Linked DNA regions of Caenorhabditis elegans. The protein of the gene in region 1 interacts with the protein of each later gene in a pairwise test. Each region holds a gene or a part of one and is shown in the gene's direction. Other genes may lie near its edges. The genes, in order: skr-20, fbxa-88, T10E9.1 and fbxa-167.

What was found.
Region 2: the proteins of skr-20 (region 1) and fbxa-88 interact in a two-hybrid assay, tested with the Caenorhabditis elegans proteins (one large-scale study listed by BioGRID).
Region 3: the proteins of skr-20 (region 1) and T10E9.1 interact in a two-hybrid assay, tested with the Caenorhabditis elegans proteins (one large-scale study listed by BioGRID).
Region 4: the proteins of skr-20 (region 1) and fbxa-167 interact in a two-hybrid assay, tested with the Caenorhabditis elegans proteins (one large-scale study listed by BioGRID).

The regions. Positions count from the first base shown.
Region 1 is NC_003284.9:13,222,375-13,225,735, reverse strand, and holds skr-20 (Skp1-related protein), read left to right. Parts: upstream 1-2,198; coding exon 2,199-2,720; downstream 2,721-3,361. Other genes in the region: skr-19 (Skp1-related protein), read left to right, coding at 1,028-1,495.
Region 2 is NC_003283.11:16,141,342-16,145,308, reverse strand, and holds fbxa-88 (F-box domain-containing protein), read left to right. Parts: upstream 1-2,192; coding exon 2,193-2,209; exon of another isoform or gene 2,210-2,256; coding exon 2,257-2,340; exon of another isoform or gene 2,341-2,387; coding exon 2,388-3,030; intron 3,031-3,078; coding exon 3,079-3,267; 3' UTR 3,268-3,301; downstream 3,302-3,967. Other genes in the region: fbxa-18 (F-box domain-containing protein), read right to left, coding at 656-1,103, 1,535-1,612, 1,657-1,694.
Region 3 is NC_003279.8:6,543,007-6,547,283, forward strand, and holds T10E9.1 (F-box domain-containing protein), read left to right. Parts: upstream 1-2,103; coding exon 2,104-2,186; intron 2,187-2,229; coding exon 2,230-2,785; intron 2,786-2,861; coding exon 2,862-3,085; intron 3,086-3,130; coding exon 3,131-3,248; intron 3,249-3,300; coding exon 3,301-3,489; 3' UTR 3,490-3,587; downstream 3,588-4,277. Other genes in the region: T10E9.2 (C2H2-type domain-containing protein), read left to right, coding at 1-168, 320-479, 528-781, 827-979, 1,039-1,279, 1,330-1,751, 1,799-1,871; acdh-4 (Short/branched chain specific acyl-CoA dehydrogenase, mitochondrial), read right to left, coding at 3,722-3,937, 3,988-4,133, 4,182-4,277.
Region 4 is NC_003280.10:13,639,177-13,644,460, forward strand, and holds fbxa-167 (F-box domain-containing protein), read left to right. Parts: upstream 1-2,312; 5' UTR 2,313-2,385; coding exon 2,386-2,582; intron 2,583-2,632; coding exon 2,633-2,716; intron 2,717-3,642; coding exon 3,643-4,300; intron 4,301-4,353; coding exon 4,354-4,548; 3' UTR 4,549-4,647; downstream 4,648-5,284.

The DNA.
Region 1 (3,361 bases):
CGAGTTGGAGTAATCTTGAGTGACATCATTCATCACCCATGACAACGTACTCTCTTTTTGTTTGCTCGAGGTAGCTTTATAAGTGCGCGTTGCGGCTGCGTCGCGGTCTTGTCTTGCAGGAATAGGTAGTGTGTTGGAAGATTGATTCATTCTCGAAAGAATGAAAAGAAAAAAGGTTTCATATGTCAGTTTCTAGCATAAAAAGGAGGAAACTGGTTATTTTATTTTCCCTTTCAAATTTGAAGTTAGAATTCGAATTTTTTTGCTATTTTCACAGGAATAATTTAGTCGTTCTAATACCGTGTGAGCCGAACAAGAAAACAAAAAAAAATCAATTTTTCCAGACCTTTCCTGTAATGAAATATTAGGTTCTTATCTGATGACACTCTTCCTTTTGATAGTTGTGTTGTGTGAGTTCACGTGACTTTCCATATTTCTAATGGCCGTGGAAGAGAAACGCGTCGTCTGCCAGCCTTCGGGGGAAGACGTTGGTGCTGAAGGTGTGCTTGAGGAGCGCACATAAACTTATCGATTTTCTTGAAATCTTGATTTTCAAACATTTTAGTAAAATAATACATTCTTGAAACGCTATTTTCAAATCAGTTTTTCCTAATGTGCTATGTAATTGAACTGTTCAACAGAAAGTAATGATTGTCGTGACTTATCAGTGACTTTTTTTTCATTTTTTTTGTACCAACTAGTGGTCACCCATCATATTCTTGACATACACTTTATTGATCCAAAAATTTCTGTGTTTAACATTGTAATAGTTCTAAGAATCGGATAAAAAAACTTTATTTTCAGCTACGTTTTTTAAAGCAAAAGTGCGAAAGAAATTATTACACATTGAATTTTATTGTCAAACGATTTAATTTAGTTTTTTCTTCTGCAAGAAACTACATACAAATAGAACTTCATCTAGAAAATTTAAGGAAATAGTTTGAATCCTGACTATTACTATTATTTGCTAATTTTTTTTCTTCTTTTCATTCTTTCTACTACAGACATTTTCAAGTATTTCAGTGTAATGCAAGTTGAAGAACCTGTAATACTCTACAAACTTCGGTCAACAGATGGGCAGAGATTTCTGGCAGATAGGCGAACAATCGGAATGATAGGACGGATTGAGGACCTATTTAGAAATGCTGGATTAGACCTGATTCCTGCCGATCAACTGCAGCCAATTCAACTAGAAATCCCTGCGACAGTGATGAGGAAAGTGATCGAGTGGTGCGACCATCATAAGCACGACCCGCCCTACGACGAATCTGAACCGGAAACCAATGATATTCCTGACTGGGATGCGTCGTTTCTGATGGTGAGGCACAACATGCTCTTTGATATAATCCGAGCCGCGAGGGATTTTACTGTACCTGGTCTCTTCGCCATGTGCTGCCGTGTCGTCGGACAAAATCCTAGAGAGATTATTGACGGATTGGTGAATGATGAAGAGGAGGAGCAGCCAGTATATCCAGTGGTGGCTGCAGCGGCTTAGGAATTTCATTTCAGATGTGTGGTGTTTCGTATGGTATGGGAAAATTTAGACTATTTGTTTTCATTTCAGTAAATATTTGAAGTGAGAAAAATGTAATCATAAGATCAAAGTTGAGCCCATTTTTGAAATTTTTGTGATAATTTGGGCAACATTTTAGCAAAAGTATTCTTCGTCTTTTATATTTTACAGAAAAAATGCAAAAACCATACTAATTTTGTAAACAATGCAACTTTATTTTTCAAGTTTGAATCAAAAATTCTCTTCTCGATTCCCTACAAAAAAACTTAAATACAACCACCATACTTCTCAGCCACCACCACATTTAATGCTAATTTCCCGTGTTCAACCGTCTTGTATTCAATTTTATTTTCTCTGCTTCTTCGTTCAATTTATATTTTAAAACTTTCGCTGTAGATTTGTAATATAGAAAATTTGCCTTTGATCAACTTGACTCACAACGCCATTCACTTTTCTTCAAAAAATTTTACAATTCCAGTTTTTAATCGTTTCATTCCATCTTTAATAAATTCATAGTGTATTCTTCCAGCTCTTTTCCACAGGTCTATGATTCGCCAAATAAATAATAAAAATTACTTTAAAGATATCTCATTTATATATTTATTTTTGTGTGGTTTGAATCCACTCAATAATATTTTTGAAACAATTGCAAAACTATTTAATCAATTACCTTTAGTTCCACATCATGACCACACCACGATCTGCGCCCTTGTACAAACTGAAGTCAGAGGATGGTCAAATTTTTAATGTCGAACGAGGACCAATGAAATTTTGTGCATTTATCAATCAGAAGTTTATTGACCATGGAGTGAACGACAGAAATTGTGAACGAGCAGATCCAATTCTCGTTCCATTCCACTCATCGATTGTTCAAGCTGTAATAGAGTGGCTTTACCATTATCAGGACAACCCGCTCGCCCGACGAGACTCCAAAATTCGTTACCACGATTTTTCCGAATGGGACAAGCAGTTTTTCAACGTGGAATCGGGAGTTCTTTTTGCACTACTCAATGCTTCTCATGCGCTTGGAGTCGAAGATTTGATGAATATGGGGTGTGCAGCCGCAGCAGAATTGATTCGAGGAAAAAGCACGGAAGAAATTCGCAAGATCTATGGAATCAGGTCAGATGAAGAACAAATGGAGGAAGCGTTGGCAAATGGTGGAGAGGGAACATCTGCAATGACATTCACAACGGATTCTGATTGATGTTTAATTTCACATATTGTGAAGAAGATGTTTGAAAGAATATATTTATACACTTTGATTCAAGTTTATTTGTGAATAAATTATTTTACAAACCTCATAAATGAAAAATTGAAGTTATAAGAATGTAAAAGAATAGTTGGAAAACAAAACAAACAACTAAAGTGTCACTACTAATTAAAAAATTGCTTAAAATTAAATATCAAAGAACCATATGTAAATCAAGTTCTCGTTGTTTCAGAATATGAGGTGAGCCCCCAAATTACCGGATTTTTATTTCCGATTTTTTCTGATTTTGCATCCAATTTGGCCGAACTTGTACATTTCTGGTGTTTATTGCAAAATACTAGGTTTTAAAAGAACTAAACGTTTATAAACTTCATGACGGAATTGAATGCAGCGTTCTGATTACTAAATCTGGAAAATTTAATAGTGTGCTTTTTTTTAAAGTTTTTTTTTTCATCTGCCTTAATTTGCCCTTTTTTGTGGAATATTATTTTTCAATTTTGTTAGTTAAGTAAAGTTTCACTATGCTCAATTCTTCAGACTTTGGGGGGATAACTTTTTCGAGAGTTGTGATTAAAAGATACATAATATTCATATATCCAGTGCCGGTTGTTTCCAATAATAGTTTTTATTGTATA
Region 2 (3,967 bases), on another chromosome or scaffold:
CTGCGACCCTTTGCTCCAAATTGTGTTGGTTATCTATTAAAAAAAGAACAGAAACAATGGACCTTCGTAGAGTTAACTTAATGGCTTTGACGGATGGTCTTTCAACACTGTCTTTTGATTTGATACCATCTCTAATCTTCCATTTTGGTCTATTTGATGTTACAGTAATTCTAGAAAATAGAAGACTTGTAAGCAACTTCTTGTTTCAGAATAGCGGTCCAAGAATGGGTGCAATCCGTCCAATTGGTAGATTGTTGGAAGCATTTGTAATGACGAAATTGATGAAGAAGAAAACGTACACAGTGCAGCCGACAAAATTCTGAAACTCCATTGACAACGATTGTTCTTTTTACAGATCCAGCTAAACACTTTAAACTTCCTAGTATTTGATTACTCGCTAATTGAAATATTAGAGCGTTGGCGTTTTGATTATTATTTCAGTCTACAGATACACTTGCTAATCATCCAAAACTTGCCATCAAATTTTAATCTTATTGTTGTTTTTTTAATTAATTAATAAAACGGCTGAAAAAGTCTAAGATGCTCAAAAGTTCAAAGGGGTGCTGCCCATGTCGCTGAACCAAGCAAGAATTTACGGAACGATTCGAGAATGTTTTGTTATGTTTTGAACAAAATTTAGAATGAACGTTTTAACTTATTTATTTGATGACAAAACAGTGTCTTGATATTTCTTCCAAATATCCCAAATCTCTGGAAAATCACCGTCGAACTTTTCGATTTTACGGTAATCAACTGTAACCAGCATCTTAAGAAGTGCAGGGAAAAAGTAATCCCGAGAACGTTTTGTAGCACGATCGCATACGCAGACTTCTAACAAATCCAGCTTCTGACTTTGATCTTTCAGTATTACTGCCAAGTCGTCAATGGCAAGTTTCAAAAAGTATTCCTCTTGGAAATGATGCTCATTTAGTCCGTTGCTAACCCAGCATCCATGTTGTTCTCTGCTGGCATATTTGAATATTTCCTTGTCTAGAACTAACATGACCCAATCAAAAAGAAGATGAAACTCGATGATTTTGAAGCCATAAGCTTTGCTATCTATGGTGTCACGGAAGAATGTACAAACTTTTCGGAGAGTCAGTCTGAAATAATTAAAATTGTATGCTTTTGAAGCTAGAACAAGCTGCCTAGCAACGTTTCATGTTAAAACATGACCTGAAATTAGTGAAAATTTGAAATTTGACCGGCTTGTCGACATCGCAGCGGCTGGAAACTAATTTTTAAGTTTGTAAAAAATTGTTTAAATTCTCTTCGTCCATCGACTTTAAAATACCTAAACCAACTTGAAAACGCCTGATACTATTAGACCTAAAATTAGTCGGTAATTTCAAAAAAAATTAGTATCCAGCCGCTGACAAGTCGGTCAAATTTCAAACTTTCACTAACTTGAGGTCAATTTTTGAGCGGCCATAACTTTGTTTTTGAAAAGATTTCAAAAAGGGTCATCATGAAATTTGGTGTTTTCAGACAAGTTTGAGTCTAATAAAAATTTAAAATTTAATAAAATTCTCACTTATCGATTGGCGTCAACTTTTTCAAAATTTCATTGATAACATCTGCCGGAAGATTAACAAACAATGACTGTTTTATTCTGAAAACTCAAGTGGTGAAGTTAAAAAAATAATAATTCCTTACTTGTTTATGCTAGCTCCCTCCGGCTCCAATTCGGCCATTTTCGTTCAAGTCTGAATGTTTAAAGCAGTTAGTTTCTTTCTGGAAAAATTATGATTCACATACAATGGTGTGATAACACAAACGATAGTTTTGATTGCAAGGGGAGAATGATGATAAAGCATGTAAATATAGCAAATTTTCGCACGAAAGTAGATTTTATTTTAATCAACCTATGTGGTAGGCTTCTACGGCACTGCAAGTAGTTTTCGCGGACCTCTATTTCTGTTGGCTGCGTAATAAACTTTCGGAACTTAAAACTGAATAAATTCGTTCAGAAATTTAAAAAGTCAACAAGTATTTGTAAGTTCTTGATATACGAACACGTCATTTCTTATCAGTATTCTTCAGCAAACTCCCATTGAATTGTTATCGCACTAGAAAGAATCGTCACTTTTCAAATTTTGACTAGACTTTCATTTCGGGTTAATATTCTTATCCACTCAGTGTTTCATTTTTGTTCCAGATTAACAACTAGCCAACTAAACAAGCTAAACTGGATGATACCTACAATATTGTGTGCTTTTCCAATTTCTGTAAACTTTCGATAATATTTTGTTTCAGTGGAACCACAAAAACATTAACAATCTATGATTTGCCGTCAGATATTTTCAACGAAGTTTTAGATAAATTGGAGCCCATTGAAAGGTGAGATTAACTAGCAAACTCTGAAAAAAATGTCGGAAACGTTTCAGATTACCTCTTCGAAAAGTCTCTCAAATCTTCCGAACAGCTATTGATAATCGAAATCACGGCTTTAAAGAAATTGCTATTGGTATTTATGACTCCTTCGAGCGATATTCCACTCTTCGACTTGACGAAAAGTTAATTGAATACAGAAGAGACTATGATGATTGTATGGTGAAGTTGGGAAGCAGGAAATGCACTGTTCTGAACGAAAACTTTGAGACACTGGCTCTCAAGGATTTCTTTGAAATTCTAAAACAAAAGACTAAGTTGGAATTGGTACAGATCAACTTGAACGTCAACGTAACAAAAAAAGACTTTCGAACCAAGTGCTTCACTAACCTGCTGAGCACTCTTGAAACTTTGAAACCAGTGAAAGCAAAATGTGTAATCTTTGAACTTCATCCTAGTGAAGTTGCCATGGTTTTGCCATGTTTTGGAGAGCTAGAGCTTATTGAAATATTTAGCACACAAGCTCGTTACAAATTAGATGAGCTTATTTATCTGGAACAATGGAAAATGGCAAAACGATTTAAAGGTGTCTCATATTGCGATGCGTTTTCAATTCCTGTGGAGAGTCTACTACACTTTGAGCATTTCGATATTCATCTGAGCACTTTCACAGTGGAAGATTGTTTGAAGATGAGAAATGCAAGTTTAGAATCTAAACATGTATAGTTAGTGTTCTATTATTTTCAGGGTCTTAAAAAAAGTGGAAACTTCAAATCTGGACGATTTCGATGTCAGAAACTGAACAGGACAGAAATCGCAAAAGTTTTCAAGCCGGACTACGCGGGAGAGCCCTCACTGGAGTATGAAGTTAATAATGAAATGTTCATCATTGATATTTCTTATGGTTCCTTGAATATAAAAAAGAATAATTTTTGATAATTTAAAACTGCTACAATAAAAATTTAATTATATATGTAGTTTCCAATTTTTTTCAGTTTCAAAAATTTATTTTTTAATGTTTATAAGAAAAATGTTATCAAATTTCGAAGTTTAATTGTCGTATTTTTGGGGTCAGGCAGGCGTCAGGCGGGCGTTAGGGAAGCTTTAAGCTGGTTTCAAGCAGGAAAATTCTTCTGCCACCACGGAAGCCTTACACGAGTTACACATTTAAGTACGCATTACCCAACAGAAATCATTACTAAGTTTTCATGCAACTCATGTCGAATCAGAAAGATCACTTTACTATCAGTTATTAGCATTAAAATTTCTAGATATTGCTAGTTAAACCTACATGGATGGCGGTCTTAGAACAAACAGGAAGAATTTTGTTTGCAGTCCACAATGATATAACAAAACAAGTGAACCTGGACATTTGTGTTTCTTTTTTTTCTAGACAGTCTCATAAGAATTGCCAATTTCAAAAAAACTTTTTACGTGCTGAATATCCTCAGACTCTGCACTGGAGCAGCACAAAACCATAACATTCAAGTTCTTCGTTATTTTGGTTGTTTTTAAAGTAAATGCTATCCAAATTTTATTTGGAAAAAAAACCAGAACAATCCAGGAGTTTTCACTTGTACCATCTCTTACTCCATTGAAAATAAAGATCAAGCTCCTTTTCAGATACGTGACTCTT
Region 3 (4,277 bases), on another chromosome or scaffold:
TATTAACTTGTCTAAAATGGAAAACGGTGAGAATTTCCTGACAAAGTTGAAGAAAAGAAGTGGAATGGAGAAGGAAGAAGTCAGATATTGTCTTGTTTGTTGCTGCTTGGTGTCTTCTGAAACAATTAAACAACACTTTCGATTATCAAGTCATAGTTGTCTAGATCCGTAAGTTAAATAAAAAACTATTGCGTAGTAAAACTTGAACAATTTTGATATATTCTGGAGCACCAAAATTACTGAATTCGTAGCACAACTCTGATTTTTTGATAAGGCCTGCCTGCATAACATTCGTTTTTTTCAATTATTATTTGTTCAGTATCGCATCGAGCTCATCCTTCACACATGTCCAACCTGACCCAAAAGAAGTTGCGAACGAAGCCGGTGAGAATGTGAATAACGCTGAAAATCCAGAAGAAGAAGAAGTATACACTTTTGAATTTCCCAAGGAATTGTTTCTATATTCTAATGTTTTCAAGGTACATTTTTTTTCAATTTCAAATTTAAATAATTTTTTCGATTTTTAGAACCTACGAAAAGATGAATTCAAGTGGCGTTGTTGTCTCTGTCCACGTGCCCATGCTCACATTTTCACGACTCAACTCATTATGAGAATGTATGCTCTTCGACATATTGATCAACATCACAAGTACCTTTTTACTGAAGAATTCATGAATTATGAATGGTTATCGGCGAAACATGAAATCAGAGCTTCATTCGATATTAGAACATTCACACCTCTTCAGTATACGATTAAGGGAGAATCAACGTTCAATGCAACGTAATTTTTTTCAAAATATGTTCTTATCAGAACAAAAACTTTCAGAGATCCAAATGATTATACTCTTCCACAGCAATACTTTTTTATTCCAAAAGATTTCATCAACGAGACAGTCATTTGTGGGTTCTGCTATCGATCATTTAATAAAATTGATTTTCTACTTCATATCGTTCTTCATGGATTTAGAGTCGTCACCAGGTTCTTTTTTAGAATATTCTACAAAATTTTTCGTGAAATTAAACCCTTCGAATTTCCAGAGAAACTGCAAAACTTCGTCCAGCGTCTTATACTGAAACCGCGAATGAATTGATGGGACAAAATAACTATTCGGATGGTGGACTTGATGATGAACCACACAATATTTTGTCTGTCGATGGGAAGCGGCTAAAATCAAAAATGGATTTATTAGCTAAAAGAAGTTACCTGAATGTTCCTCGATTCTCAGAAGTAACTACGCCTGGCAAAAGTGAAAGAGACACTGATGGAGAAATTTATACGGTAATTCAAAATACTTTTAAAATTAAAATTATAAATATCAAAATTTTCAGCCAAGTGGTCGAAGATCTGCTATGAATGCTCGAAAACTTCTCACTGAAACCTTCAAAGTTCTCCAAGATAACTTTCGAAATAGGAAAGACACGTGGAATGAATCATCGTGCTCTTCTTCGTCTTCGTCGGATGAATCAAACTCTGAAGACGATAGATTCGAACGGAATTTGTTATTAGAAGCTACTACAAAAGATGAGAGACGAGAAAGATCGAAAAGTACAGAACTTAAAGTGAAAGATTTATCAAAAATGAGGCCAGCTGAAGTTCGTGAATGGGTTAAAAGAGAAGCTGAAAAGCGAGGAGTTGACTGGAAAGATCAGTCATCATCATCAGAAGGAGAAGATATGGAATCGGAAACTACCACGGAACGAATAGCAGGAAATAATTGGAATAATATGAGATTAAAAGATATCAAAGAACTGTGAGTTTGTAAAAATTAAATTAAATTTTTCAATTTTCTTTTTTCAGTGTTCGCACAGCAGCAAAAAGGAAGAAGATTGATATTTCAAACGATTCCAGTAGTGATTCAGATGATTGTTAGATTACGTAGTAATTTATTCGTTGTTAATTTATTAAAATAGTTTCAAAAATAGTTTTTCGATACTCAAAAAATAAATGCTTTCAATTTTTAAAACTATTTTCAACTTTTTTTTTTGTTTCCAACTTCTGTTGTACAGCTCAGGTCTCAGATTATTTGTGATATATTTTCAAAATTTCCGCCAAGGTTTGCTGTAACAAACTGATCCGAAATAATTGCTTTTTCTGAATTTCAGATGGTGAGAAAACCTATCGAAATATTAGACTTGCCCCCAGAATTGTTAGAGAAGCTTATCGAGAAATGTGATTTAATTTCAAGGTATTATTCTCCTTAAATAATTTTAAAAAAATCAAAACTTTAGATGCAAACTTCGTGCAACCTCTTCTACTATGAATCATGCTGTTTCATCTACAAAACTCTTCATTCCATCGGTCTATATCAAGGATCTTCACAGTGTAGGAGTTCTCGTAAAACTTACATTTAAACTATTCAAAGATGTACATTCTCTCAAGTTTAAAATGACTCCCGAATGCGACACAAGAATCTCCCAATCTTCGAAAAATGATATTATAATTGAAGGATCTCGACCAATTGATGAGGCTATCGCATTCCTTAATCGAATGTGTTTTCAAAATAATGTTGTTATTGGATTCCTAACTGTAGAATTATCAGATAATTTCGAGGAATTGAATAATAAGTTTATGGAGACATTAGATAACATGGAAAGTTCTCTAAAAGTTCAATCCATTTTTTGGAGAAATCCGCGAAAATGTGACCTTCTCTGGAAAATGTTTGATAAATGTGATGGAAGTTTGCTGAATGGTTTGAAAATAGACGGACAAGCTCGTGATGATGACGATGATTTCGATTTTCTCGGGAAAAATGCGGCAATTGTGCAAAAAATGGACAAAATCGAGGTAAGATGAGTTATGAATATATGCGTTGCACTTTAGAAAACATATAACTTGTGACTAGAGAAATTATGTGTTTCAGATCTCTACTATCACCACAGCAACCTATGAAGACGTCATGGCACTAAAAGCGTCAGTGATCTCTCTCAAATCCAAGAAGTTTACTGGTGACCTTATTTGTGACGTCATCGAGAAGTTCGTGGCTACCAGATCAACTGGATCGAAACTTGACATCATGAACCCAAGTGGCCTAGATTTTGAAAATATTCCTGCAGGATTTACACAAGTTGAGCAGGACTCTGGCCAGTATGTCATAATTTGACAATTATTTTTTGAATATCTTAATTTCAGCAATGTATATCACAAGCAACTTCCAGATGATCAAAGACTTGTAGTTTTATGGAAAAGTGAGAATTGGATTAATTTAGAAATTGGAAAAACCGGAAATTATGATTTCTCGCCTAGTTTTGTAAGTTCAATATTCAGTTTTCATGTCTCCAAATAAATACGTTATTTTTCAGAAGAAAATTCTACTCGGTCTACCCCATTTCGCTGACGATTCTTCGGAGTACGATGACAATTATGATGATTATGATAACGATGAGGATAGCAATTTTGATCCCGATTATGACTACGAACGTTATGAAGATAATCTCGATGAATCTGACTATGAAGATACAGATTATGGGGAAAACGAAGAATTCTATTAATAATCAAATTGTAACGTTTCGTTTTTTCTCTCGTTCTCTTATAATTTTATATAACTAGACGTTCAATAGATACAAATTAGAATAAATTTTCAAACAACATTTTCCCTTAGAACACCAACATGAATCCATATTTATCAAATGAGAATATCGAATTAACCCTCGCAATAAGGAGGAGAGGTACATTTTCAGGCCTTCTGTTTAAATTCGGCGTCAATTAGCTTCGCGATGGTGCTCAATTGAATGTTGGAAGTTCCTTCGTAAATCGTTCCAATTTTACAGTCACGATAGTATTTCTCGACGGGGAATTCTTTGGTGATGCAAAGAGCTTCGCCATTGCTGCCTCACGAACAAATGGTAATCCGTGTTGCTTCATACGAGCAGCATTGTAAACCAACAGACGAGCAGCTTCGATTTCAGTTCTGACTTGAGCAATTTGATGTTGCATTCCCTAGAAGTCTATTGTATATATATATTTCTCTGTCATGTTTTATGTCTCACCTGGAAATCAATAATTCTCTGCCCAAACTGTTCTCTTTGTTGAAGATATGGAATTGTCTGATCAAAACATCCTTGAGCTAATCCAAGCATTTGAGCTCCAATTCCGATACGACCAGCATTCAAATATTCAATTGCGTACTTGTAACCTTTAAACATTGTGTACTTAAATTGGAATTATTAATTCTATAGTCAACCTTTTCCAAATTCTCCAAGAATTGCCGACTTGTGAACGCGTACATTATCAAAATGAAGTGGGCACGTAGAAGATGAACGAACTCCCAATTTGTCCT
Region 4 (5,284 bases), on another chromosome or scaffold:
AAATTCTTGCCAATTTACCAAAATGAAAATTCTTGCCAAACTGACAAATTGCCAAAAAAGGAAATTTTTTCCAAATTGGCAAATTGGCAAAAAATGTTAAATTCTCGCCAAATTGGCAAATTGCCAAAAAAAAGGAAATTCTTGCCAATTTGCCAAAAAAGGAAATTCTCGCCAAATTGGCAAATTGCAAAAAAATTTTAAATTCTCGCCAAATTGGCAAATTGCCAAAAAAAAGGAAATTCTTGCCAATTTGCCAAAAAAGGAAATTCTCGCCAAATTGGCAAATTGCAAAAAAAATTTAAATTCTCGCCAAATTGGCAAATTGCCAAAAAATTTGCCAATTTGGCAAGAGTTTTATATTTTGATCATATTACCAAATTGGCAAAAAATGTAGTTTTTGGCAAATTGGCAATAATTTCCTTTTTGGCATAGTGCCAATTTGGCAATTAGGTAAGCTTTTTTTTGCAATCTGCAAATTTGTCAAGAATTTTAATTTTCGCCATTTTGCCGGATTGGCGGAAATGTAATTTTTGGCAAGAATTTCTTTTTTCTGGCAAATTGGCAATTATTCATTATTTGAAATTGCCAATTTGGCTAGGATTTTCATTTTTTGGCAATCTGCCAATTTGGTGGAATCTAGAATTTTTGCCATATTACCAAATTGACGGACTTTCCATTTTTGGCATTGTGCCAAGTTGATAAGAATTTCCTTTTTTTTGCACTTTGCCAATTAGGCAAGAATTTGAATTTTTGGCAATTCGCCAATTTGGCGAGAATTTTAATTTTTGGCCATCTGCCAATTTGGCATGAGGTATAAATTTTGACAAGTTGCCAATTTGGGATAAGTTTTATTTTGGGAGTTGGGCAATTAGAGGAGAATTTCAATTTTTGGCAATTTTCTAATTTGGCAAAAAATTTTCAACAGCGTTTTATGGGCAAAAACAATTAAAACTGAATTTTTAGAAAGTTAAAATAATTCCAACAACAATAATTCTTGTTAATTAAATTTTTCGGTTGTGACAACGTCATCACAAAACATTCTAAACCAATTTAAAGATATTGAGTCCTAAGAAGCTAAAACTTCAAAAATAAATTATATTTTCAGCATAGTTACACCGAAAACACACCGAAAAGAAGAGAGAAAATGCGTTTATGGTCAGCGAGCGGCAAGAGACAAAAAACGAACGTAGAAGGAGAAGATGGGCAACACACAAAAATGTGACACATTTAGAGAGAGAGAGAGAGATAGAGAGAAAAACAAAAGACGCGAGCGGAATACACAAAAATGGGTGCAAAACGGGTGTATGAATAAATAATGGGCAAATATTGGAACAAAACGGAGGGTTTTGTCGGGAATAAAAGGAATATTTCAATAGCTCATAGTTAAAAATTTCAAGATTTTCACAAAAATGAATGTCAAACTTTAAAATTAGTATGGGACTTATTACTGTTGTGATTTTTGATGAGATGAGTTCAATTCTACCAAAAGGACACAATTTTCATTTTTGGTTTTCAGTACAGATAAATTATTATTTTTGAAACATTTCACTAAATCCGGGCCTTCATATTTCACTCAAAATTAACATTTTTCAGAATGTTTTTACAGAAACTTGTTTCAAATTTTGAGCTCTTTTTTAATTATATAACGAAATTCAGCTTTTTTTTGTTGCTATAATGCTATTTTTCTAGGTAGGGCACTTTTTTGCTCAATATGATTATAACCAATGTGCAAGAATTTCCAAAAATATTTAAAATGGTAGCATTTTGAAAAAAAATACTTTTTTGGGGCTTTTGAAATGTATATCGTAGAAACAGAGACGGTCATACATTTGTCTAAAAGATGAAAAAATCTGCTATTTTTTTAGGTAAGACACTTTTTTGCTACATGATAATAACCAATGTGCAAGAATTTCCAAAAATATTAAAAATGGTAGCATTTTGAAAAAAATACTTTTTTGGGTTTTTTGAAATGAATATCGTAGCTACAGAGACGGCCATACATTTTTCTAAAAGAACAAAAAATCTGCTATTTTTTTTAGGTAGGACACTTTTTTGCTAGATGAACATAACTACTATAAAATTTTTTTAATGGTGGTAGCATTTTGTTGCTCTTATGGTGCAAAACGACCAAACATTTAATTTTTTTAAAGTTTGTCCCCAATTTAATGAAAAGAATACGGTATTCTACCGGTCGATGCGACTCTTATCATTCTACTTCCAATTTCTCACTTGTTCTGTGCTGCTGTCTCTCCCCTCTCATATTTTTCATCTCTCTTGTCTATTTCTCTTTTCCATCTCCACTGCTTCCCCTCTTTCCATTTTCCCGCATTTTCATTGATTTTCCGTCCAATTCTAGAGTTTTTAAAGTTAAAAAGGTCCAGTAAAATGCCTGCCATCCTGGAAACCAACCCAATTGCTATTCGAGCTTGCATTCTCTACGAGGTCCGCCAAAAGCGGCCAATTTTCGAGTCTTTCAAGAATTTTTGCAATGCGTTTGGAAATGATTTTATGGAATATCGAGAATTTGAGCGCTGGTTTTATCGATTTTATCATGGAAACGAGGATTTGGATTATGATATGAGGTAAGTGTAAAGATAAGTTCTAAAATGTAATTTATTAGAAAGAAATTCAGCCGGGAACCAAAAACAGCATCGCTATCCGAGTTGCCAATTGAAATATTGTTCAAAATTGTGGAAAACTTGAATTTTCTGGACAGGTTAGTTTTAAAAAATGTTTTTCTTTGAAAATGTATGTTTTTTGGACGTGGGGATTTTTAAAAAAATATTCTTAAAATTAAGCAAAAAATATATGCATGATCAGAAGTGGGCGGCAATTACCGTTCGGCAATTTTTTTTTGTCGACAAATTTGGCAAATCGGCAAATTTCCGGTATGCCGATTTGTTACCAGAAATTTTCAATTCCGGCATCTTGCCGATTTTTCAGAAATTTTCAATTCCGGCAACTTGCCGATTTGCCGGAAATTCTCAATTCCGGCAATTTGTCGATTTGCCGGAAATTTTTAATTCCGCCAACTTGCCGATTTGCCGGAAATTTTCAATTCCGGCAACTTGCCGATTTGCCAGAAATTTTCATTTTCGGCAACTTGCCGATTTGCCAGAAATTTTCATTTTCGGCAACTTGCCGATTTGCCAGAAATTTTCAATTCCAGCAACTTGCCGATTTGCCGGAAATTCTGAATTCCGCCAACTTGCCGATTTGCCGGAAATTCTCAATTCCGACAATTTGTCGATTTGCCGGAAATTTTTAATTCCGGCATATATGAAAACTTTAAAATTAACAAAAAAATAAAAAGTTTTACTATGAAACTTATAAAGTAATTTCAATACTAGTATCTGAAAATTTAAATTAGGTCTTCCATAAGGTCAGGCAGGCAGGCGTTAAAACTCCTGCCGGCCTGACCTTAAGGTGACCCACGCCTGCCTCTCGCCTCAAAACGCGCCTTATGCTTCATTTCATAATTGGAAAATGGACAAATTAATAGAAATGACAAAATTTGAAGTTTGAAGATTCACATAAAATGTAGAAAATTTTCAGACAGGCGTGAGGCCCTGAAGCCGGGCCTGCCTTGAAAGCCCTACTTTAAATATTTCAAATAACACTTCCAAAAATTCAAAATTCCAGACTTCTCCTCCGCAACGTCTCGCCATGCTTCCGCAGCATCGCCGAGGATCACGTCAACGAGGTCACCAACATCTCAGTGACTTCTATTCCAAACCACGTACATGTATGCTTCTATCATGAAAGTGACTATACAGATATTATATGTAAACGTGTGGATGATGATTGTGTAATTACTAAAATGTCGCAATACGAGGATTCAAAGGATTGGAAAATTGAAGGAGTTTCTCATGTGACTGTTGCATTGAACTATCTGTCTAGGGTATTGAAGAGCCCGAAGTTGAAGCTGGAAAAGTTAAGACTGGACTTTTTGGAGCATAATAAAGAGGATACCCAGTGTATGGAAGAATTATTAACTGTGCTTGAAAATTCCGAACCCCATGTTCTGAACATTGAATTCGAAGGACTAAACTTCCACGAAACATCTAGTGTTCTCAAAAACCTGAAAAATGTTGAAGAGATACAACTATCAATGTACAGTATACAAGAGTTGTCTGGAATTGAGAAGCTCGTTGAGCTGGAGCAATGGAAGACAGCAAAGACACTTGATATATCGAGTCATGAAGACATTGAGATGGATATTAAAGATTTGCTGCACTTTCAATCAATTGATGTTCGTCTGAAATCGTTTTCAGTTCAGGATGCGGTTAAGGTTAAGGAGGTGAAATACTGGAAAATGTTTGACCCTAAATTAAATTTTATTCTGATTTTCAGACCCTCGAACTCCGCACCTCTGACTTCAGATCAGGAACGTTCAGAGTCCTTAACACAGATACTCGAAAAATCGGAAAAGTATTCAACCCAAAATATACAGACGCTGCTAACAACACATTCAACTTCAAGACTAAAAATTCCTCATTTGAAATAACTATGTGTTCCAAGGAAATTTATGTTAAACGGAAGCTATAAAAGGAGTCTAGCAGTCATAATTCCACGCTTATTTATATATCTTGTTGCCATAAATTGAGTTTAGATACTTTTCAGAAATAAAGTTTTATTAATGAAATATAATACTGTGCGCCCAACTTCCCCCTTAATTTTTCCGTTTTACCACATTCTGAAATTTTTTTGAAAAAATGGCTAATGCCATTCGATTCCAAATGTCAAAAACCCCGTGTCCACAATTTTTATGAAAATACATGGGCAACTACAGAAATTAGATCAAAAAATCATTTAAAAAAAAACCATAAATGTAATTGCAAAAGAAGAGTGTTTCAGATTCAAAATTGTGATAATAACATTATTTATAAGCATTCTATTCATATTTGAATGTTTTTGAAAAAATTGAAAAATTGAAGAAAAGAGAAGTTCGTCTCGATATAGTGCTATTTTTAGGATGTTTGAAAGTCCGCTGTGAGCTTGCTTCTAGAGTATCGCCGCTAAAAATTATCGAATGACTAGGTCTCATATGCAAGCCCAATTGGCCCTTTCTGACGAGCCCCTTGTTAGTTGAGCTTTTATGTTAATATTTCGTTTATTCGCACGTTGTTGTTAAATGAGTTGTATGAGTTGTTAAAGTTAACGTAAAACAAGGTTTCTTCGCTGAAAAGTGGCTGGTTGTTAAATAAAGTAGGTTTAAATTACACAAAATTTACAGAATTGCTTTGCTCACGGAACAATCGCTTTACCGCGACTGTAATAAACA